2 linked regions of the Rhinolophus ferrumequinum genome follow. The protein of the gene in region 1 interacts with the protein of each later gene in a biochemical or structural test. Links are inferred from orthologs where the notes say so. Each region holds a gene or a part of one and is shown in the gene's direction. Other genes may lie near its edges.

What was found.
Region 2: the proteins of GNAZ (region 1) and RGS20 form a complex in vitro, tested with the Homo sapiens proteins (2 studies listed by BioGRID, with this or other methods). The link is inferred for Rhinolophus ferrumequinum from reciprocal best matches to the Homo sapiens genes GNAZ and RGS20.

Annotation. Positions count from the first base shown.
Region 1 is NC_046308.1:21,775,740-21,783,657, forward strand, and holds the start of GNAZ (guanine nucleotide-binding protein G(z) subunit alpha), read left to right. Parts: upstream 1-4,918; 5' UTR 4,919-5,067; intron 5,068-5,782; exon of another isoform or gene 5,783-5,923; intron 5,924-7,918. UniProt on the Homo sapiens protein: Guanine nucleotide-binding proteins (G proteins) are involved as modulators or transducers in various transmembrane signaling systems.
Region 2 is NC_046297.1:24,425,941-24,441,813, reverse strand, and holds the start of RGS20 (regulator of G-protein signaling 20), read left to right. Parts: upstream 1-9,158; coding exon 9,159-9,317; intron 9,318-15,873. UniProt on the Homo sapiens protein: Inhibits signal transduction by increasing the GTPase activity of G protein alpha subunits thereby driving them into their inactive GDP-bound form.

The DNA of each region.
Region 1 (7,918 bases):
AATTCCACCAGCACAGTTCCAGCTACAAGCAAGGTCCTGTGGGGTGACAGTAAGGGGTGAGGAGTGGGATGCAAAGACAAAAACTCTACAGTCCATGTTCTGTGGAAGCACCTATCAGTGGTCCCAAGCCACCTCTCCTGGGGGCCTGAGTCTTTCTCCCCATCAGGTCTCCCTTCCAACCAGACCACTGCCAGACACACACCTGGGCCTCCTGGGCCTGCTCTCATTCCTATGCAGGCACCTGCCGACAGGTTCCCTGCCTGCCCCAGCCATGGGTCCCTCTCAGCCAAGACCTGGTGGCCCCTCCCCAGCTCATTGTGGGGAGGAGACCATTTGACTTTCCAAGAAGGATTTTGCTGACTGATGGAATGGGAAGGTTCCTGATTGGTGACACCTGAGCAAAGGCCTGAGCGTGAGGAATTTGTGCATCATCCAATCAGGGCTTGATTGTGGCCTCACTTGCACCTGGGTCTGGCCTTCCCAAAAAAGCCCATGGAGAACCACTGCTGCTGGACCAAAGGGTCAGCACAGGCCGGGGAGACGGGAGCAATGGGGAGGGTGTCAAAATCAGAAAGTCACAGTGTTGGACGTCATCACTGCCACTGCTGCCCCCTTGATGAGGAAACCAAGGCCCAGAGAGGCAACTCAAGTGCCCAAGGCCACACAGCAGACGGGGCCAGACCAGGGCCCTCATCCTCCTGGGTTTCATTTCTCAGGCATTTGTCCTGGGGCCTCCACACCGAGAAATGCTGAGTACCAGGACCCGGGTTCTTTTTGGGACAGAAGGAGAAGATTAAAAATAAAACGCGTGCCGGGTGTGCCTCTCTGCTTGTTCACTTTGCTTCTTTTCAGCTAAAAGGAGAGTTGCAGGCCTGGCTATTTATAACTAACCCAGATCTGCAATGGCTTGTTCAAATGTGTGGGAATTGGGGTACACAGACCCCAAGGAAACAAACTGGAGAGACAAACCTGGCCCTCCCACAGCCTAACTGTCCAGCAGGGATTGGGAAACAGGACAGGGTGGGCGCAGAGCAGTCAGCCAGGAGGTAACCATCGCCAGAGGTCCATAGGCAACGAGACACCACCACCCCCACCCTTGGGAAGTGGGGAGATTAGTGGAGAGTCATCTGGGACTGGTCATTACAGCGCAGGTCGACACATGTGTAGATGAGGAATTCCAGGGCGCTAGGGGCTCTGGACATGCAGGCTGGGAGGCCTGGGGGAGCTGGGCCTCATGGGGCAGAAGGGCAAAGGCACAAGGCATGGGTGTTTGGAAAGGGTCCTGATCCGGCATGGTTGGTATGCCAGGAAGGGTTCAGTGGTTGATGAACCAGAAAGCTCCACTGGGATGGAGGATCATGATGTCCATGGCATGGACCCCCTTGTGGTTGCAGTTTGGCCACTTCCAGGGGTCGCTCTTTGGCCAGCTGTCCCTGCTGGTTTGGTGAGGTGCCAGGTGGGCTCAATCACCAGGGCCTGCTTCCTCTTTCTAGCGCAGAGCCCCAGCTGTTGTCTCTGGTCCTGTTCTACCAACCAGTGAGGACTCAGCATGGGGTACTGGCCCCAGCCCTAGGGACCACACATCCTCGCCTGGTACCCTGGGCCCACCGTGCCTCATTGTGACCCACTTATCCAGCTTTAGCCTGGTGTGGTCCCCATTCCCTGAACTCCTGGCACACAGACCCCCACCTGTGCTTTCCTTTGTTTGTTAGGACACTTCTCTGTCCTCAGCTTACTCGGCCTCACTCACAATAGCACGTGACATGGCTGAACATGTCTTCTTTTTCAAGACACTCCATTCCTGGAGCTCTGGGACTGTGGGAACAGAGCCAAGAGCAGTTTCCAGGCTCTCGGCCTCACGTGGAAAGGTGCTGGCTCAGATAGTAAATGGCCATCAACTGTGATTGGATGGCCATCAGCTGTGGCTAGTTGGCTGTCAGCTGTAACCAGTGAGCCATTGGCCACTAATATAACTGCCGTGGCTACGCTAGCAGCAAATGGGGGCTAGCAAGAAGATGGTGGCTGAGCTAGCAAGCGCGGATTGCAGTTAGCACGGCGGAGTGCAGCTAGCAAGTGGGGTTGGTTGGCAGAGAAGTGGACGGCAGGTTGCGGATAGTGTGGCTCCTGCTTCCTATGTCTCCAACCCAGCCGCCGGGGAGACTATAGTGGTATAACTCCCCTATCTATGGCTCTGTGGGTGTTCCTTTTTGACCTCACCATATCCTGCGTTCCAAAGTGGGGAGCGGGAGCTGAGACCCTGCATGACACCCTGCATGACAGGGACCCTCCCCTCCCTGGTTTCCTGGCCACCTCTCCAACTGCTTAGCAAGTGCCATCACTTCCTCCATCATCTCGTGTGGGCCCCCTTCTTGGTCACCCCCCTCTGCCAAGGCCAGCTCCTTCTCTCTATGGTTGCAGCCACCATAAAGCCATCTCCTGACACACAATTGCCTGGTGACCCCATGGCCCTACACTGACACCAACCTCATACACTGACTTCTCTGCTTTCTTATTTTCTCTGGGCTGACTAGTTGATGTTTTCATGATCTATGCCTATTTCATGCCTATTAGGACAATGCACGTGGTAGGAATACGCCTACTATACATATGAAACAAAAACTTACCTTTCTCCTTTTGGAATTTAAAAAGCTAACCTTAAAATTCTCCAGTGGTTCTTAGGCCAATGTCCCCAATCCTGCACAAGGGCCATCTGCCTGGTGTGATTGTTCCCAACTCCGCTGCAGCGTTCTGTTTTGGCATCCTCACACGCTTGCTGGCTCCAGCTACACTGGTCTTCTCTAGGTTCTCCTAGACCTCACGCTCCTTCACACCCAGTGCCTTCCTCATCTTGGAACATGCTTCTCTCCTGCCCCAACTCATCAGCCACTTCCATGCCTCTCCCGCTGTCCTAGTACCCAGGGCTCCCCCTGCCACTTACCCCCAAAGCCCTGGTGGGTCTCCTCCATCAGGCCTCACACAACCCTAAAGGCAGATTACGTTCTGCTGTCTGCTGCTGCCCCAAAGACAAGAGGGTCTAGCAGACAGGGCCAGGTCTGATTAAATCCTAGAATTGTGCCCGGCACAGAGGAGGCCGTCAGTAAATGACTGCTGGATGAAGGAGTACCATCATTGGTTGATAGCATCGGAACTTTCACTTCGAGGTGGCCATCAAGGTCAGGCGAGGGAGGCAGGAGCCAGCCCCATGAGGCCCCTGCATAGGCTAGCCTCTGATCTCACAGCGGGACTGCTGTACGAGGTCATCCCGTGCTTGCATCTAGCTTTGTCCCTGTGAGCAGCTCAACTCTGAGCCCTGATCCTGCCCTTATTCATCTTTGAATGTGTGCCGATGTGTCTCTCCCCTCAGAATCATTCTCTAGGGACAGTCAGTTGGTATCCCTTCTTAACAGAACAGGAAACTGATGCTTAGCCGGAGAAGTCACCAAAAGGCATACAGGTAATGGCAACAGAGCTGGGCCTGTGCTTCACCTTCAGCCCCCTCTTATCTCTGATCCACCTCAGGGCAAGGCCTCTGCCCGTTATCTTCCTGGTGTCACAGCCGCTGACCTCGGGGTGGTCCTGTGGGCAGAGGCCAGCCTGACCCAGCCTCTTGCTGCGGAGGACATGCACAGAGGAGCCCTCAAGGGCTAGCCACGCTCCTTTGGTCCTTATTGACCACATCCGGTGAGCCCTGGGCCAGATCTAGGTTCACCTCAGGATGCCCCTCACCACCATCTGCCCGGTCCCTGACAGTTTAGGCAAACCCTTCACAGCTGGGCCACAACCCTGCGGCTAGGTGGTGCAATGGTCTCCATTTCACAGCAGAGGGAACTTTCCCAGAGAGGATGACGTTGAAGGTGTAAAGTGATAAGGGCTGTGTTAGCTGGGAACATCTGCATTTTACCTGCGATACTCTAGGATGGCACAAAGGTTCAGGTTACCGTGACGGAGAAGGCAGAGAAGGAATTAATATCTTTTAAGCATTTAAGTGAGGGGCTCCTGGCTCTGAGGCCCACAGATGGGCTTCCCCTGAAACTGAAAGCAGAAATTTGGCAGACTGCCCTCGGGTGCATTTTGCTGAGTACTCCATGCCTTCTACTTAATCTTCCCAAAGGCACCAGTGGGACGATGGCCTTAACTGAGCTGGCTCCCTCCTGCCTTTCTGGTCTGCGGGATAAGTCCTGGGCCCTACTCCCTTCCCTCCCTTCCAGGGCAATTTTCTGTGGACAGGATTGACAGGGACCCTGAAGAGACACTACATGCTGGGTGTAGGAGAAAAGATGACTAACGCCCCTCCCATCGCTGCACAAACCTTACCAGTATAAACCTTTCGGGTTTGCATGCACAACCCTTTCACACATTCTAGCGGAACGTAGCGACAATTCAAGGAAGCAAGTGTCACTAGCCCCACGATGCAAAACAGGCCCAGAGAGGTCAGTCGGTTGCCTAAGGGCGCAGAGCTCAAAAAAGAGCCAAGCTGGGTTCGAATTCAGGCCGGGGGAGGGGAGCGGGAGCAAGGGCCATCGCCGCTCTCAGGCTTGGTCTGGGGATCTGCGGGAGGCGATCCCGCTGGGTTGGCGCCCTAGCCTGGGTAAAACCGGGTCCTGGGGATGCAGGAGCGGGTAACGCGTGCGGGACTGCGGCGCGCGCTGAGCCACGGTGCCGCCCCTGCCCGCCACCATTGGACCGTGGACGCGTCCGTCAGCCGCTCCTGCCCAATGGGCAGCTAGCCGGCGCTTGTGGCTCGGCAACGGCGCCCGGCGCGTGGTCACCGGCGGGCTCGCGGCACCCCCGCCCGCGGTTGGCTTGGCAACGCGCTGCGCTCGCGGCTCCGCCCCCTGCCGGCGGCTGCGGCGCGGGGCGGGCGGACCCGCGGGCGGACGGCGGGCGGCGCGGGAGAGCAGGCGGAGGGAGCCAGGCCGGCCGGAGCGTGTGCGCCGCCCGCGGTCCGGTCACGTCCCCGCGCGGGCGCCGCTGCCCGCGTCGTGCGGAACGAGGGCGCCGCGGTCCGCGCTTGCCGCCCCGCCCGCCCGGAGCAGCTCTGCCGATGCACCGTGCCTCGGCCTGGAGGTAAGCGAGCACGCCCGCGCCCGCAGCGTGCGGCTGAGCCTCGGGGGGTCGGGGGCGCGGCCGGGGCGTCTACCCCACCCCCACCCGGGGCCCCGCCCGGGCCTTTGTGCTGGGGATCCGCCCGGGCTGGGGGCCCCGGGGCGCAGCGACAGGGGTGCCGGCTGGGGGTGGGGTAGCGAGGGCGGGGATGCCCGCGATGTGGGCAGGAGGTGGCCACGGGTCCAGCAGGTGCTGGGGAGGGGGCGCCGCCTGGCCGAGGAGCCAGCGGGAGAGGCGGCTGCGGGCCCGGGAGGGTGAACCGCGGCGGCTGGGGATGCCGCGCAGGGGGCCCCGACCAGCCACTGATGCGGGGTCAGGCTGGGCGACCTGCAGGAACGGCGCTGAGGCGGGGTCTCCCTCCCGGGGAAGTGGGGAGGAGGCGACCCGGGCGGTGGGAGGGCTGACGCGTGGCCTTGGCTGAAACGGAGGAGAGGGCCCCGGAGGCCTGGGCCCGAGGACGGACGGCTCGCAGTTTTCGGTCATCGCTCTTGCAGTGAGCAGGTTCCTTGGAGGCATTTAGAGCAAGAGATGAGTATCGACCCACCGCGTTTGTGATATGTTCCCGTCTCAATATTTTTTACCTTAAAAGGCGGTGGGGGTGTTTGGGGGGAGGGGTGTGAGGGCCTCGGGGCTGGGGCTCGGGATCCTGCTGGAGATCTGCGGGGGCTCTGCCTTGAGGGCGGTGCGGAGCCTCTGTGGTGGTGATGGCAGGAATCTGCCTAGGCCGAGAACTGGGGTTCTCTGTTACAAGGATGAGAAGGCAGTGCCAGACCAGGGTTCCTTGGAGTCGGCGTCTCAGGATGGAGGAACCCGCCTGGTAGGCGAAGTCACACTGGCTTGGGGAGGCAGCCCAGCCCCTGACCGGCTTTTTTCTGCCCAAGTGATTTCCTTGCCCTGGGGACTGAGTCCCGCCGCCTTGGCTCTGTCTAGAGGTGGCTCCTTGGCCAAATTCGATTAAGCAAATATTTACTGAGCTTTTGCTCCCCCAGGGCCTGTGCTGGGGTAGGAGTGAACTGGGCCTGCCCTCCAGGGACTGACTCACCACCCCACAGGGGAGCAGTGTGTCTGCTCCTATGACCCAACACTGAGTGTGGGTGCCGGGTCTCGGGGGAGACCTCAGAGAGGTGTCCTGGCTGGGGTCAGGCAGGCCTGTGGGCAAAGTGACATTTGAACTGGAGCTTGAAGGACACAGGCACAGTTGGGGTGGGCATTGAGGGCAGAGTGGGGAGAATGGGCCGAGGCACAGAGAGGGTGCTGGGGCAGTTGGGTCTGGCAAGAGCACAGGGTATGCTTCGGAAGGCATAGGAGGTGTGGCAGGAATGGAGGGCGGGGGCTTCATGGAGGCCGCGGGAGCTGTGGGAAACAGAAGGACCCCGTTGCTTGTTCGCTCTGGCTGATTCAGTGGAGCCACAGTCCCCGCCTCTGTAAAAGGGAGTGGCTGTGGGATCCAGGAGCTGGAGTGGGCCTGGGGAAGAGTTTGGAGGGCCTCAGAGGGCTCCTTGCAGCCTAGGACTGCCCTTCCAAGTACCTTGTCCCTTGGGCAAGGCCACCCGGCCCCCTTCCTAGTCAGGATGGAAGATGATGTTTAGCTACTGACTGTCCCTTTGGGGCGTGGATGTCTGAGAGCAGTAACTGTGGACGCCTGGGAGTCTCCACGCAGGGTCTGATGGCGAGGGAGGGCCTGGCCACACTTGTGCTCAGACGGAGTGGTGTGCCTTCAGCGTTCCTCAGGTTCCAGGGACAAGATGCTGGCATTTGGTTTAAAACTCTTCTAGTGTGTTCCTCTAACAAATGTTGGTTTCTGAGCTAGAAGGTGAATAAGACCTAGTCCCTCCCCTTCAAAAGGCTGTGTCACTTTCTGCCTGAAATCTTGCTTGCTTCCTCTTGCTTGCTCCTGGCGATGTTTTGCTCTCCTGAAAGAGCTGTTTGTTACTCATCTGTGTTTCTTGCCCCTCCCAGCCCCACCCCTAAACACACACCCACTTTCTCATTTTTTTTGGGTGAGGCCCAGGTTGCTGCAGTGAGAGCAGGCAGCCTGCTTGCCCTCATGGGGGTGCTTCACTCCATTCTTGTGGCCCGCCCCATTCTGGGGGGCTTGCCATGGCATTTTAGGTGGGACAGAGAATGCATTCCTCCTTCTGCCCCAGCTTTTCTGTTTTCTGGAGTCTCAGGAGGCAAAGTGCCTTGGTCTGGATCTCAGGAGCTTCTAGGGCAATTCCAGGAACTCTCAGTGACCAAGTGGACTTGGCAAGGCTGCCCAGGGCCCCTGCAGAGAGGCTGGTGGGATGGAGTGCCCGAATGGCAGGGAAGGCTGGCCTCAGACACAGGGTGTGGCCTCATCGTAGCCACATGGTTGTCTTGTGTACACACGCGATAACAGTGTGCTGCGTCTTTCTTCCCTGGACATGAGGACGAGGCAGCCGTACTGCCCCCTGCTAGCTCTCAGATGACCTAAAACACTGTGTGGCTGTAGGATGTTCTTGCTGCCAACCATGGTGGGGCTTGCAGAGACTCTGGAGGAGGCAGATTAGCACACTGCTCCCCGCCAGCCCTCAGGCAGGAGACCTGGGGTGACCAAGCCCCTCAGAGGCAGGCCTGCAAGTGCCATGGTTGGCAGGAAGGAGGATGAAGGGAAAGGGACAAGCATCGGGGCAGATGCTGTATCAGCCCCAGGCAGGAGCCCAGAATGGTGGCCTGACATAGTTCGTGCAGATTGGAGAGGGGCTGGGAGGGCCCAGCTCCCCACAGGGTAGGAAGGGGCTAGAGCAGAGCTCCAGGTGAGACATCAGAAGACCTGAGTCAAGACCCCCCA
Region 2 (15,873 bases), on another chromosome or scaffold:
CAACAGAAAAAGATAAACAAACAAATAAATAAATAAAAACACCCTATGAACAGGTACAAATGCAATAGCAAGCATGTTTAATCCCTCTTCGTCCCATTCATTGGAGACACATTTATTGAGTGAAGTCCAATTTTGTCAGGCACTCCAATTTTCTTTGGGATTTCTTTGAAGTAGCTCAGAGTCAAGTTGAGGAGCATAAATGTATTCAGATAATTCCAATAAGCGCAATAATTGAGGTACCACTCTATGTGCCTAGAAGAGGAAGCCAATGCTGCTGCTCAGAGAGGAGGAACTCTTGTACTAGCCACTTGCACTAGTCCTAAGCAAAGCAGGCACATTAAGAAACAGGCAAAGGGCATTCCAGGCAAAGGAGAGGAAGTATGATTCCCAGATTGTGAATGAGTCCCTTTCCTTCTTTCTACTTGTCATGCAGGGACTCATGCGGGGTCTCAGGTCCTGCTCCCCACATAAGAACACAGGATATGGTGAGGCCAAAAAGGAACACCCACGGAACCATAGATAGGGGAGTCAAACCACTGTAGTCTCACTGGTGGCTGGGTTGGAGACACAGGAAGCAGGAGCCACACGATCCACAACCCGCCGTCCGCTTCTCTGCCAACCAACCAACCTCTTGCTAACTGCAATCCGCGCTTGCCAGCCACCATCTTCTTGCTAGCCTCCATTTGCTGCTAGCGTAGCCACAGCAGTTATATTAGTGGCCAGTGGCTCACTGGTTACAGCTGACGGCCAACTAGCCACACCTGATGGCCATCCAATCACAGTTGATGGACATTTACTACCTGAGCCAGCACCTTTCCATGTGAGGCCAAGAGCCTGGAAACTGCACTCCTGGCTCTGTCCCCACACTACTCTTGACCCATTTGAAAATGTCACTTTTCTGATGAAATAGTTTACTTTATGGTTAAAATTCAGGGCATATTTCTCTATAAATACAGAAAGCTGGTGATCAGGTTTGCTCGGCATATCATCTCTGCACCAACCCATGCCATCTCAGCCACAGACCTGTCATGGTGTGGCAGGTTTCATCAGGTTCCATGGAGCTCTCCTCAGAGGCAAAAGGAATGGAACAAAATCAGGAATGATGCAGTTAGTAGAGAGGGGCTGCTTCACAGCTCACCTGGGATGGCTTTTTCTAAGCATCATGGCATTATCAGCTATTTTCTGGCATTAGGGAGAAGAGGCAGATGTACCCTGGTGACATCTCCCTTACATTATTTGTTCAACACATCTATTGGTGATCACAACTAGTTTAATTATATGTTATAGTGTATGTAAGATATCCTTTGAGCTGCTTTGTAATTTCCTAGTAATTGAGCTCCAGAGTTGTTATTTAGAAATGACATAAGGGAAATAAGATAAAACTGTACTGACAGGAGAAAAATAACAGTAATAATGAATGTATTCACCAAAATTAGTTAATATCTCATATCCTTAACAATTTTTTACTAGAATAGAATCATATTATATGTTTGGAGAAGATATACCCCTTGGAAATGATCAGAGGGTAGAAAGATTATGAAATTTTAAGGAATTTCTTTAGTCTAAAATATATGGAAAGTTACAAACATCATCATTTCTAATCTTTCCTTTCTAAATGTGGATTGAACTTCCACATGCCCATAGAAATAGAGGAGTTTTAGTCAAAGGAAATTGTGGGGACAGAGCCAGGAGTGCAGTTTCCAGGCTCTCGCCCTCACGCGGAAAGGTGCTCACTCGAGTAGTAAATGTCCATCAACTGTGATTGGATGACCATCAGCTGTGGCTAGTTGGCCATCAGCTGTAACCAGTGAGCCATTGGCCACTAATATAACTGTTGTGGCTATGCTAGCAACAAATGGGGGCTAGCAAGAAGATGGTGGCTGGCAAGCGCAGATTGCAGTTAGCTCAGCGGATTGCAGTTAGCAAGGGGTTAGTTGGTTGGCAGAGAAGCGGACGGCGGGTTGCGGATCATGTGGCTTCTGCTTTCTGTGTTTCCAACCCAGCCACCAGCGAGACTATAGTGGTATGACTCCCCTATCAACGTGTCATGCAGGATTTCATGCAGGGTCTCAGCTCCTGCTCCCCACATAAGAACATAGGATATGGTGAGGCCAAAAAGGAACACCCACAGAGCCACAGATAGGGGAGTCAGACCACTAGTCTCGCTGGCGGCTGGGTTGGAGACACAGAAAGCAGGAGCCACACTATCCGCAACCTGCCATCTGCTTTTCTGCCAACCAACCAACCCCACTTGCTAGCTGCAATCCGCTCTTGCTAGCTCAGCCACCATTTCCTTGCTAGGTCCCATTTTCTGCTAGCATAGCCACGACAGTTATATTAGTGGCCAATGGCTCACTGGTTACAGGTGACAGTCAACTAGCCACAGCTGATGGCCATCCAATCACAGTTGATGGCCATTTACTACCTGAGCCAGCACCTTTCCATGTGAGGCCAAGAGCCTGGAAACTGCACTCCTGGCTTTGTCCCCACACTATGGCTCCGTGGACGTTCCTTTTTGGCCTCACCATGTTCGTATGCGGGGAGCAGGACCAGAGACCCCTCCTGTCACCCTGCATGACAGAAATCCTGTTCTAAAAGATAATTTATCATGAAAATCTTACTATCTCCTAGTGAAGATTATGTTTCCAGCCTGCCTTCAATTGAACAAGGACTTTGAGAAATTTTTGCACCTTGCTGAATAAATCATTAGTGTAAGAATAGTTCTTCCATTCTTTTTCATACAATAGGCATTTGCAAGAAGCTGACTTACTTTGGCCCAGCAGTAACTGAGTATTGACACCATGACCCCTTTGCAAAATACCCTAACCAACTACCCTAGCAGCCTCTGATTGCATTGGTATTGCCAAAGCAGGTCTAATTGATCACACAAGATTTTGCTTATGCACTGTATCAGTGCCCCAAATTCTTATGGCAACCAAGCTTCAAGATTTTCCAGGTAGGTTAATTTTATTATACTGCAACATTGACCTCAGAAGGACAATCTCTGCAATTTTAAATTTAAAAAATATGGTCATTGTGGTAGGCAGCTTCTAAAATCACTGTTAATGATCCCCACCTCGAAATGATTCATATGATGCATACCCTTCTGTAATTCATTCTCCTTGTGTGTGGGTTATACCTACTTTTTTTCTAAAGAATAGCGTGCAGCAAAAGTAAGGGATGTCACTTCCAAGATCAGATTATGGAAGACTGTGACTTCTGTCTTGCTTGCATTCTCTCAAGTTCTTCTCACTTATTTACTCTGGTGAATCAAGCTGCCAAGTTGTGAGCTGCCCCATGGAGAGGCCATGTAACAGGAGACGAAGGCAGCCTCCAGTGAACAATCAGCAAAGAATTGATGCCCTTAGCCCACTAGCCTTTGAGGAACTAAATCCTATTAACTCTGGAGTAAGCCTTGAAGTGGATCCTTCCCCATTGGAGACTTGAGAAGACTGCAGCCCTAGCTGACACCTTGATTGCAGCCTCACGAGAGACACTGAACCAGGGGTTGTAGACACTGGTACATTGCGGCTGATTACTATTTCTGTCAGAGGATAAATGTTATCTTAATCCACTAAGTTTTGGGGTACTTGTCATGCAGCAATAGGTAACTAATGCAGTTACCAAAATAAAATAATATCTAGCATTTAGCAAGAGTTTATTATGTGCTGGGCACTACAATAAGCCCTGTATATACGCTGCAAGTGAAAGGAAACAGATAAAGCTAGCTTAAGCAATAGTAATAATATTCTCAAAATAATATTTTTTTATTTTTAAGGAAGTTATTGGATCATGTAAATGAAAAGTGTAAGAGTAGATATTCAGGTATATTGAGTGACTTGCTCAAATGATGTGAGGAATCTATTTTTCTCTCTGCATGACTTTCTACTCTGGTTCTCAATGAACTGATTTTATTATTAGGCAAGCTCTATATCCAAGTATTGGCAAAGATATATACACCAATGGCACCAGACTTATATTCTGCTAATTAGTAACCATGGAAAACAAGCACTGCTTTTCTAATTGTTTAGCAGAAGTCCTAGGGCTGACTCTCATTGGGCAGGTCACATGCTTGACCTTGAATAGTCACTGTGGGCAGAGGGATGGAATGCACTAATTGACCAGGTCTGGGTTGTATTGACAGACATGGAGCTGGATGCAGAGTCAGCTATATCCAAATAACACGGCCTGAGAATGGGATAGATGTATTTCCCCAAAGAAAACCAGAGTGCTACTATTAGAAAAAGAGTACATAAATGGTGGGGGGCGGGAAGTCCACTACATTCTTGACAGACCAGCATACACACACACACACACACACACACACACACACACACAGAGGCATACCTCCCTTTTTTTCCATATATACACTTTCAGAAATGCTCCCACTTAACATATCCCACATGAGATTTAAGATGTACTCACTCATTCTAAAAAAAGACAACCCAGAATCTTTTCTACTTACTGCATCTGGATGAAAGTCAAGGATCGTTTGGTGACTTGCAGTCTTTTTGGTCTGGTGTATGTGTGGGTCCTTAAGGCTGTCAATCCATGGTTAAGTGATGCTTCTACACCACTTTCGATACACAGTGATGGAGGAAAACAAGGTAACTGGATTCATGATATACAGCAAAGACAGGCTATTCTATCAATAAAGCAAATGACTTGATCCACAGTCTGAGCTATGACTAATTGTGCAGTCTGAAACCCTCCCTAGTCTTGGTCTTCCATAACTGTCTGAGATGAGCCTCTGTAAGGATTTTCCTCTCTGGATCTGCATATCTTCAGTTTCCTTTACCTAAGGAAAGAGTGTTGGGTGGGCTTTGCCAGGCTTAGGGTTCTCTGATAGTTCAACTCCGTTAATACTTTACTCAATTGGTTTTCAATCCATTTGTTTTCCATCACTGTTATGAGTTAGTAACAAAGTCAGAGTTTTATTAATTGTCCATTAACCTTCCTCCTCTCATCACACTCTGAGATGTTTGTGCTTCTTAGACACAATTCTCCCAGCTCTGCCTGTTAGTTACACTGACACTTTAAGAAATGTCCTTTAACTTAGGATAATGTAGAATAAATATATGTATTTGTCAACAAGTATTTTACTCAACTTTCAATAAATTGTAAAATTCTTTTCTCATGCAAACTCCTCTTACTGCAATTTCCAGGAAACTTTTTCGGCACAGAATGCCAGGAAAGGCCAGTCAATGGTATTGTGCCATTATATGCATACACACACACCTCAAATATGAAAAAATATGTTTACTAGAATCTAACAAACACTGAGTATGCAACATTTTATTAAAGCAAATTAAAGATGAAAGAATTTTCATAGAAATAGTTGCTGAGTAGAAAGAAGTTTCCAAAATAGAGAATCATTACAAGTATGAGGAAAGTGCTAGAGATAACAAATATCCAAATAAAATGTTTCTTCCAAGGTTTAACCCCAGAATAGATGTGCAAAAGTGAAAGTGGGAGCAAGAGGAAAAAAATTCTGGTGGACCTGTGATATTCTTAAAGAAAAAGAGAAATACAAACAATTTGGTTTGCAGAGTGGCACAGAACACTGTGCTCTGTCCCTAGTGTATGGAGATGTGGAGGCTGGTCCCAGCTACAGTATTATATGTAGTCCTTGGACATATCACCTAATATCTCATGTAAGTTCCCCATCCACAAAATGAAGAAGACAAAATGGGCAGGAGGACAAGATGATCTTGATAGTCCTTTCCAGCTCCAAAGATTGCACATGTCAATTTGAGACTATTAATACCACCTGTTCTGTTTTCATTCTAAGAGTCCAGAAACAAATACCAGGTTTCTAGACCCTCAGACCAGTGATAGTTCAACCATATCTTCACTTAAGTGTCCCTGAGAAACATTTTTTTTAACTGTTAAGATATTTCTTGCCCCTACTCTGAAACATTTGGGCACTTGAGAAAGTTTCCTATCTTTTTTAAATAAAAACTTTAGCAGCATTATTGAGATATAATTCACATATTATATGATGCACCCATTTAACATGTACTGTTTATTGATTTTTAGCATATTCACAGGGTTGTGCAACCCTCATTGCAATCAGTTTTATAACATTTTTATCACCCCAAAAAGAAACCTCTTACTCATTAGTCGTCACTCTCCATCTCTCCCCAAACCCTCCTGCCCTAGGCAACCACTAATTTACTTCCTGTATCTAAAGATTTGCCTATCCTGGGCATTTTCTTATAAGTAGAATCATACATGTGATCTTTTGTGACAGGTTTCTCTCACCCAGCACAATGTTTTCAAATTTCATCCATGTTGTAGCATGTTGTAGCACTTCATTCCTTTTTATTGCAGAATAACATTCCATTGTATGGATACACCTCATTTTGTCTATTCATCAGTCGATGGGAAAGTGGGTTTTTTCCAGTTATTGGACATTTGTGTATAAGTCTTTGTGTGAACATATATTTCACTTCATTTGTTTCAGTAGATATCTAGGAGGGAATTGCTTGATCATAAGGTAGCTCTATGGTGAACATTTTGAAGAAGTGCCAAACTGTTTTCCAAACTGATTACAACATTTTATATTCTCATAAACAATGTATGAGAGTTCCAATTTCTCCACATACTCACTAACAGTTGTTATTGTCTTTTTGATTAGAGCCAACTTATTGGATGTGAAATGGTATCTCACTGTGATTTTCATTTGCCTTTCCCTAATGACTAATGATGTTGAGCATCTTTTCATGTGCTTATTGGTGATTTGTATATCTTCTTTGGAAAAAAGCCTGTTTAGATACAACACCCATTTTCACTTGTTTGGGGGTTTTTGTTGTTGTTAGTTGTGAGAGCATTTGAATATTCTAGATGCAAGTTTCTTATTACACAGCTACGACTTTCAATACTTTCTTCTATTTTGTGGGTTTATATTTACTTACTTGATGATGTCCTTTAAAGAACAAAATTTTTTAATTTTGGTGAAGTTCCACTTGCCTATTTTTTTCTTTTATCACTTGTGCTTTTTGTGTTGTATCTAAGAAAGCTTTGCCTAATCCAACGTTACAAAGATTTATCCCTATGTTATCTTCAAAGAGTATAATAGTTTCAGCTTTTACATTTAAGTCTATGATTAATTATGAGTTAATTTTTTTATGTGATTTGAGGTAGAGGTTCGACTTAATTTTTATGCCTACGACTATCTAGTTGTTCCTGCATCATTTCTTGAAAAAACAGTTCTTTCCCCATTGAATTGTTTTTGCACCTTTTTGAAAATCAACTGACCATAAATGTATGAGTTTGTTCCTGGACTCTCAATTCTATTTCATTGATCTATGTATCTATTCTTATGCCAGAACCATAGTCTTAATTACTGTAGCTTTGTATTAAGTTTTAAAATTGAAGGTGTGAATCCTCCAAATTTGTTTTTCTTTTTTGGGATTGTTTTGGATATTCTGTGTCCCTTATAATCTCAAATTTTAGAATCAACTTGTCAATTTTTGGAAAAAAGGGAGCTGGATGTTGATAGAGATTGTTTGTTTTACAGATCAATTTTGAGCTCCTGGGATCATTTTACAAAAGGAAATTTCTCCAGTTCATAGTCCCCAGTAATACACACCTGAGGCCCTTACCTCTGTGCCCCCAGACCCAGCAGAGACAACTCAGACATTAGATAACTTCTTTAAAGAAAGGTATTATGTTCTACCTTTTTGTACTCACTTTGTTTAAAATCTTATTTTTATAAAGTACTTTATAAATATAAAGTATTTATAAATATGAAATATTTATAAAGTACTTTATAAATATAAAGTATTTATAAATATGAAATATTTATAAAGTATGAAGCCAAATTCTTGGCTTAATCATTAGATGACTAGCTGCCTCATAAGAAAATCATTTTAACTAATTCTACATGACATAAATATAAAGAGTGATAATCCTTAACCTTGAGTTTGCATATGAGTTTAGCATACATTTCTATCCACAAAGCTGACTGCTGCTACTAAAATGATATTTTAAAAAACCTAAATATATTAGGTGAACCATTTGCCTTTCAATTGCAAAGCACAGGACTGTCAAGTAATCCATTTTCATTTTTTTAAATTAGTTTATTGGGGTGACAATGGTTAGTGTGGAGACAGAGCCCCAGAGAGTACTTTCCAGGCTCTCGGCTTCACATAGAAAGGTGCTGGCTCAGGTAGTAGATGGTCATCAGGTGTGACTATTTGGTCATCAGCTGTTACTGGTTAGCCATTAGCCACTGATATAACTGCCATGGCTAAGCTGGCAAGTGGTGGAGTGTGGATTTCGGATCATGTGGCTCCTGCTTTCTGTGTCTCCAACCCAGCCACCAGTGAGACTATAGTGGTATGACTCCCCTATCTATGGCTCCATGGGTGTTCCTTTTTGGCCTCACCAAGTCCTACGTTCTTATATGGGGAGCGGAACCAGAGATCCCGCATGACACCCTGCATGACAGTTAGTAAAGTTACATAGGTTTCAGGTGTATAATTCTGTAATACATCATCTATATATCACATTGTGTGTTCAGCACCCAGAGTCAGTTCTCCTTCCATCACCATATATTTGATCCCTTTTACCCTCATTTATTACCGCCCTTCCCCCTTACCCTCTGGTAACCACTAAACTATTGTCTGTGTCTATGAGTTTTTGTTTCTTCCTTTGTTTGTCTTGTTCTTTTGTTGTTTTCAGGTTTATATACCACATATCCGTGAAATCATACAGTCCTCAACTTTTTCTGTCTGACTTATTTCACTTAGCATAATAATCTCAAAATCCACCCATGTTGTCACAAATGGCACTATTTCATATTTATCAGTATATATTAAGTAACATATTGCTTGAATCATTTTTTTCAGTTTTGATTTAGGATTAAATTTTAATTAGGAATACATTGCTACCTGTAGAGGGCAGTCATAACATAAGTAGGCATTCAAAATAAGAGGCTCCACCTGGAACAGAACATTAAAGATCTGTGGATAAGCTGCTGATCCACAAAACAGATAATCCTTTTGCTTTGATTAGTGTCACTTTCCAGGGAGCCCCCCAGCAGACTGAGAGATGGCTCAGCATCAGCCAAAAGAAAAGAAATAGGGTGGACTCTGGACTGGTGTTGTTAAAATCAGGCTACAGAATTCATTTGGAGCCTTTATTGTAAAAACATGCCCAGGCTTTCCCAAGACAACCAAGAATGCATTCAGAAATATTTCTCCAGGCCATCCATGTGGAAGCAATTTCTGCCCCTGCCTAGGGCTGAAGGATATAATGCAAATATTCACCAAACCGCAGAAAACGAAGAGGGCACCAAGGCTGTGTATGACGTCAAGGTAAAACAATTTCCACAATCCATGATCCTTTCTTGACAAAGAAAGGGTTTATCCAGAAAGAATATAAAACCATAAAAAAGCTTCAGCGTCATTGCTCACTCACTTCATCTTACTGACAATATATCAAAATTGTTTTCAAACCAACTGTCATGCAGGGCATCGTCAGGCAGGGTCTCTAGTTCCGCTCCCTGCATAAGAATGCAGGATATTGGTGAGGCCAAAAAGGAACACCCACAGAGCCATAGATATGGGAGTCATACCACTATAGTTTCACTGGCGGCTGGGTTGGAGGCACAGGAAGCAGGAGCCACACCATTCGAAACCCGCTGTCCACTTGTCTCTGCCCAATGACACACCTCACTTGATAACTGCAGTCCGCCTCTCTGCAATCCTCAATCCACACTCCACCCTTGCCAGCCACTATTTTCTGCTAGCATAGCCTCGGCAGTTATATTAGTGGCCAATGGCTCACTGGTTACAGCTGACGGCCAACTAGCCACAGCTGATCGCCATCCAATCACAGTTGATAGCCTGGAATTACTGCACTACTCGAATGAGCACCTTTCCACATGAGGCCGAGAGCCTGGAAACTGCTCTCTGGGACTCTGTCCCCACACCAACCCCAAGAGAAAAACTAGAACCTTGATGATAATTACCTGATCTGTCCAGTTTTCTCATCTAAACAGCTCCCATTTACCAAGACAAATTATTCTTTATTTATTTTTGTTTGTTTGTTTCAGGAGGTAATGTTTTAAAAAGCAGAAAACCTAGACAAATTTTTGTGGTTATTGCTATTAAACCCTGAATGTTTTTCTCTGATATAAAGATTACACCCCATATAGTAATGAAAGAAAAATTATAGACTGCTTTCAACAAAAAATGGAAGTAAGAAAAATTGATATACAAATACAGGGTCATAAGAACATTAAGGAGCGAAGGGGTGTTTTTCTTTTCTTTTTTTTTATATACATATATATATTTTTTAATTTATTTTTTTAATTTATTGGGGTGACAATTGCCAGCGAAATTACATAGATTTCAGGTGTACAATTCTGTATGACATCATCTATAAATTACATTGTGTGTTCACCACCCAGAGTCAGTTCTCCTTCTATCACCATATATTTGATCCTCCTTACCCTCATCTCCCACCCTCCACCCCCCTTACCCTCTGGTAACCACTAAACTGTTGTCTGTGTCTATGAGTTTTTTTTTGTTTTTTAGTTTTTCTTAGATGTTTATCATATCCCTCACACTGTGGACCCCCCCTCCCCCATCCACTATCTCTCTGACATCGCACCGAGCCATCCCATTTCCACTATCTCCACTCCCAATGCTGTACTCTGCCTCTTGTAAATGTTTACATACCTATATATACATATATATATACACACACATATATATATATAATATTATAGTTGGCATTCATTATTGTTCAGCTTCAGGTGTACAGTGCAGTGATCAGGCATCTACATCTTCTCTGAGATGGTCTCCCAAATGGGACACATGTCTATCGGATACCCTACAAAATCTTTACAACATTATTGATTACGTTCCCCAGATTAATTTCAAAACCCCGTGACCATCTTGTGGTTACTGACTGTTTTCTAATCCCCTCACCTTCCCCTTTACCCACACCACCCCACCCATCTAGCAACCCTCAGTTTTTCCTCTTTGTCTCCAAAACTGTTTCTGATTAGTTCATTCACTTATTCTTTTCTTTAGATTCCACGTATAAGTGAGATCATATGGTACTTATCTTTCTCTGTCTGACTTATTTCACTTAACATATGTTCTCTAGGTCCATCCATGTTGTTGCAAATGGTAAGATTTCTTTCTTCTTTATGGCTGCGTAGTACTCCATTGTATAAATGTACCACAGTTTCTTAATCCAGTCATCTGTCGATGGGCATTTTGGTTGTTTCCATGTCTTGGCTATTGTGTATAGTGCTGCAATAAACATAGGAGTGCATAAAGATTTTTGAATTGGAGTTTTGGATATCTCCGGATAGATACCTAGGAGTGGAAGTACTGCATCATAGGGTAGTTCCATTTTCAGATTTTTGAGATACCTCCATACTGTTTTCCATACTGGCTGCACCAATCTGCAATCCCACCAAGAGTGCACAAGCGTTCCCTTTTCTCCACATCCGTGCCAGCACTTGTTGTTTGTTGATTTATTGATGATAGCCATTTTGACTGGGGTGAGGTGGTATCTCATTGTGATTTTTATTTCATTTCTCTGATGGGTAGTGAGGTTGAGCAATTCTTCATATGTCTGTTTGCCATTTGTATGTCCTTTTTAGAAAAGTGTCTCTTCAAGTCCTCTGCCCATTTTTTAATTGGGTTGTTTGTTTTTTTGGAGTTGAGTTGAGTGAGTTTTTTATAGATTTGTGATATTAATCCCTTGTTAGATATATCATTGGCAAATATCTTTTCCCATTCAGTAGGATCCCTTTTTGTTTTATTGATGGTTTCCTTTGCTGTGAAAAAACTTTTTAGTTTGATATAATCCCACATGTTTATTTTTTCTTTTACTTCCCTCGAGCGAGGGGATATATCAGTAAAAATCTTACTCCGGGTAATGTCTGTGAAGTTTCTTCCTATATTTTCTTCTAGGTATTTTATGGTTTCAGATCTTACATTTAAGTCTTTAAGCCATTTTGAATTTATTTTTGTATATGGTGTAAGGAGGTGGTCCATGTGTTATTTGCATGTGTCTGTCCAGGTTTCCCAGCACAATTTATTGAATATACTGTCTTTACTCCATCGTACATTCTTGCTTCCATTGTCGTAGATTAAATGGCCATATAGGCGTGGATTTATTTCTGAACTCTCTATTCTGTTCCATTGATCTATGTGTCTGTTTTTATGCCAGTACCACGCTGTTTTGATTACTGTAGCCTTGTAGTATAATTTGAAGTCAGGTATTGTTATACCTCCCACTTTGTTCTTATTTCTCAAGATTGCCTTTGCTATTCGGGGTCTTTTATGGTCCCATATAAATTTTAGGATTATATGTTCTATTTCTGTGAAAAACGACGTTGGCAGTTTGATAGGAATTGCATTGAATATGTATATTGCCTTAGGCAGTATGGACATTTTAACTATATTAATTCTTCCTATCCATGAACATGATATGTGTTTCCATCTATTTATATCTTCTTTCATTCCTTTCTTCAGTGTCTTATAATTTTCTGAGTACAGATCTTTTACTTCTTTGGTTAAATTTATTCCCAGGTATTTTATAGTCTTTGGAGCGATTGTAAATGGGATTGTTTTTTTAATTTCTCCTTCTGATGTTTTATTATTGGTATATACAAATGCAACTGATTTCTGAATATTAATTTTGTATCCTGCTACTTTACTAAATTCATCTATCAGCTCTAATAGCTTCTTGGTGGAGTCTTTAGGGTTCTCTATATATAGTATCATATCATCTGCATATAATGATAATTTTACTTCCTCCTTACCAATTTGGATGCCCTTTATTTCTTTTTCTTGTCTGATTGCTGTGGCTAGAACTTCCAGCACTATGTTGAATAGAAGCGGAGATAGTGGGCAACCTTGCCTTGTTCCTTATCTTAGGGGGAATGGTTTGAGCTTTTCCCCATTGAGTATGATGTTAGCTGTGGGTTTGTCATATATGGCCTTTATTATGTTGAGATATGATCCCTCTATTCCCTCTTTCTTAAGTGTTTTTATCATAAATGGCTGTTGGATTTTATCAAATGCTTTTTCTGCATCTATTGATATGATCATGTGATTTTTATTTTTCATTTTGTTAATGTGGTGTATCACATTAATTGATTTGCGGATGTTGAAACACCCTTGCATACCAGGGATGAATCCCACTTGATCATGGTGTATGATCTTTTTAATGTATTGCTGAATTCTGTTCGCTAATATTTTGTTGAGGATTTTTGCATCTATGTTCATTAGAGATATCGGCCTGTAGTTTTCTTTTTTTGTGGTGTCTTTGTCTGATTTTGGGATCAGTGTGATAGTGGATTCGTAAAAAGTGTTTGGGAGTCTTCCGTCCTCCTGGATTTTTTGGAAGAGCTTGAGGAGAATCGGTGATAATTCTTTTTTGAACGTTTTGTAAAATTCAACTGTAAAGCCATCTGGTCCAGGGCTTTCGTTTGTTGGGAGATTGTTGATTACTGATTCAATTTCCGTGGTGGTAATCAGTGTATTCAGGTTTTCTGTTTCTTCTTGAGTTAGCCTTGGAAGGTTGTACGCCTCTAGAAAATTGTCCATTTCTTCCAGATTGTCAAATTTGTTGGCATATAGTTGCTCATAGTAACTTCTTAAAACTTTTTGTATTTCTGCGGTGTCTGTTGTCACTTCTCCTCTTTCATTTCTGATTTTATTAATTTGGGTCCTCTCTCTCTTTTTTTCAATGAGTCTGGCTAAAGGTTTGTCAATTTTGTTTATCTTCTCTAAGAACCAACTCTTGGATTCATTGATCTTTTGTATAGTTTTTCTGGTTTCTATTTCATTTATTTCTGCTCTGATCTTTATTATCTCCTTCCTTGTGCTCCCTTTGGGCTTATTTTGCTGTTCTTTTTCCAGATCCCTTAAGTGTGAAGATAAACTGTTGATTAGTGATGTTTCTTTTTTTTTAGGTAGGCCTGCAAAGCTATGAATTTCCCTCTTAGGACTGCTTTCGCGGCATCCCATAGATTTTGGGTCGTCGTGTTTTCATTTTTGTTTGTCTCGAGATATCTTTTGATTTCTTCCTTGATTTCCTGCTTGACCCATTCATTATTTAGTAATAAGTTATTCAGCCTCCAGGAATTGGTGTGTCTTCCAGTTTTTTTCCTGTAGTTCATTTCTAATTTCATAGCACTGTGATCAGAGAAGACAATTGGTATGATTTCAATTTTCTTAAATTTATCAAGACTTGTTTTGTGGCCTAACATATGGTCTATCTTAGAAGATGGTCCATGTGCGCTTGAGAAAAACGTGTATTTTGCAGCATTGGGGTGAAATGCTCTGAAAATATCGAATAAATCCAAGTGGTGCAATGTATCATTTAAGGCTGTTGTTTCCATATTGATTTTCTGTCTGGAAGACCTGTCCCTTGTTGTCAGAGGTGTGTTGAAGTCCCCTACTATGATAGTGTTACTGTTGATCTCTGTCTTTATGTCAGTCAGTACCTGTTTTATATATTTAGGTGCTCCTATGTTGGGTGCATAGATATTTACTAGAGTTATGTCCTCTTGTCGGATCTATCCCTTTATTATTATATAGTGCCCATCTTTATCTTTTAATATGTTCATTTTAAAGTCTATTTTGTCAGATATAAATATTGCAACTCCAGCTTTTTTCTCGTTTCCATTTACATGAAATATCTTACTCCAACCCTTCACTTTCAGCCTGTGTGTGTCTTTTGTTCTGAGGTGAGTCTCTTGTATACAGCATATACAAGGGTCTTGCTTTCTTATCCAGTCAGCCACCCTATGTCTCTTGATTGGAACATTTAATCCATTTACATTTAAAGTGATTATTGATAGGTACATAGTTATTGCCATTTTTAAATTTGTAGTTAGATTGTTTTGATCTTTCTTCTATTTAGAGAAGTCCTTTTAGTATTTCTTGCAATGCTTGCTTGGTGGTAATAAATTCCTTTAGCTTATTTTTTTCTGGAAAGCTCTTTATCTCTCCATCAACTTTAAATGATAGCCTTGCTGGATAAAGCAATCTAGGTTGTAGGCCTTTGTTTTCCATCGCTTTGTGTATCTCCTGCCACTCCCTCCTGGCCTTCAATGTTTCTCTAGAAAAGTCATTTGATAGTCTTATAGGAGTTCCCTTGTATGTAACCCTTGTCTTTCTCTTGCTGCTTTTAGGATTCTCTCTTTGTCTTTAAGCTTTGCCATTTTAACTATAATGTATCTTGGTGTGGACCTGTTTGGGTTTATCCCAAACAGAGAGTTGGAACTCTCTGCAATTCCTGGGCTTGTATGTTGGTTTCCTTCATCAGGTTGGGGAAGTTTTTGGACATTATTATTTCAAATATGTTCTCAATCCCTTGCTTCCTCTCTTCACCTTCTGGTATTCCTATGATGCGCATGTTGTTGCACTAGATGTTATCTCAGAGGTCTCTTAAGCCATTCTCATTGTCTTTTATTCTTTTATCTTTCTGTTGTTCCGTTTGGGTGATCTCTGCTACCTTGTCTTCTAAGTCGCTGATTCGATCCTCTGCTTCATCTAACCTGCTGGTAATTCCTTCAAGTGAGCTCTTAATTTCGGTAATTGTGTTCTTTAGTTCTAACTGGTTGTTCGTTATGATTTCTACATCCTTCTTTATGTCTTCTCTAAGCTCCTTAAACATTCTTATCACCAGTGTTCTGAACTCTGTCTCTGAAAGGTTGGTTACCTCTGCTTCATTTGGTTCCAGTTGTGGAGGTTTCTTCTATTCTTTTATTTGGGACGTGTATCTTTGTTTCCCCATTTTGGCTGACTCTCTGTGTTTGTTTCGATGTATTAGGTAGATCCCCTAGAGTTCTTATTTCTTGCTAGGTTATCTTATGTAGTATGTGTCCTT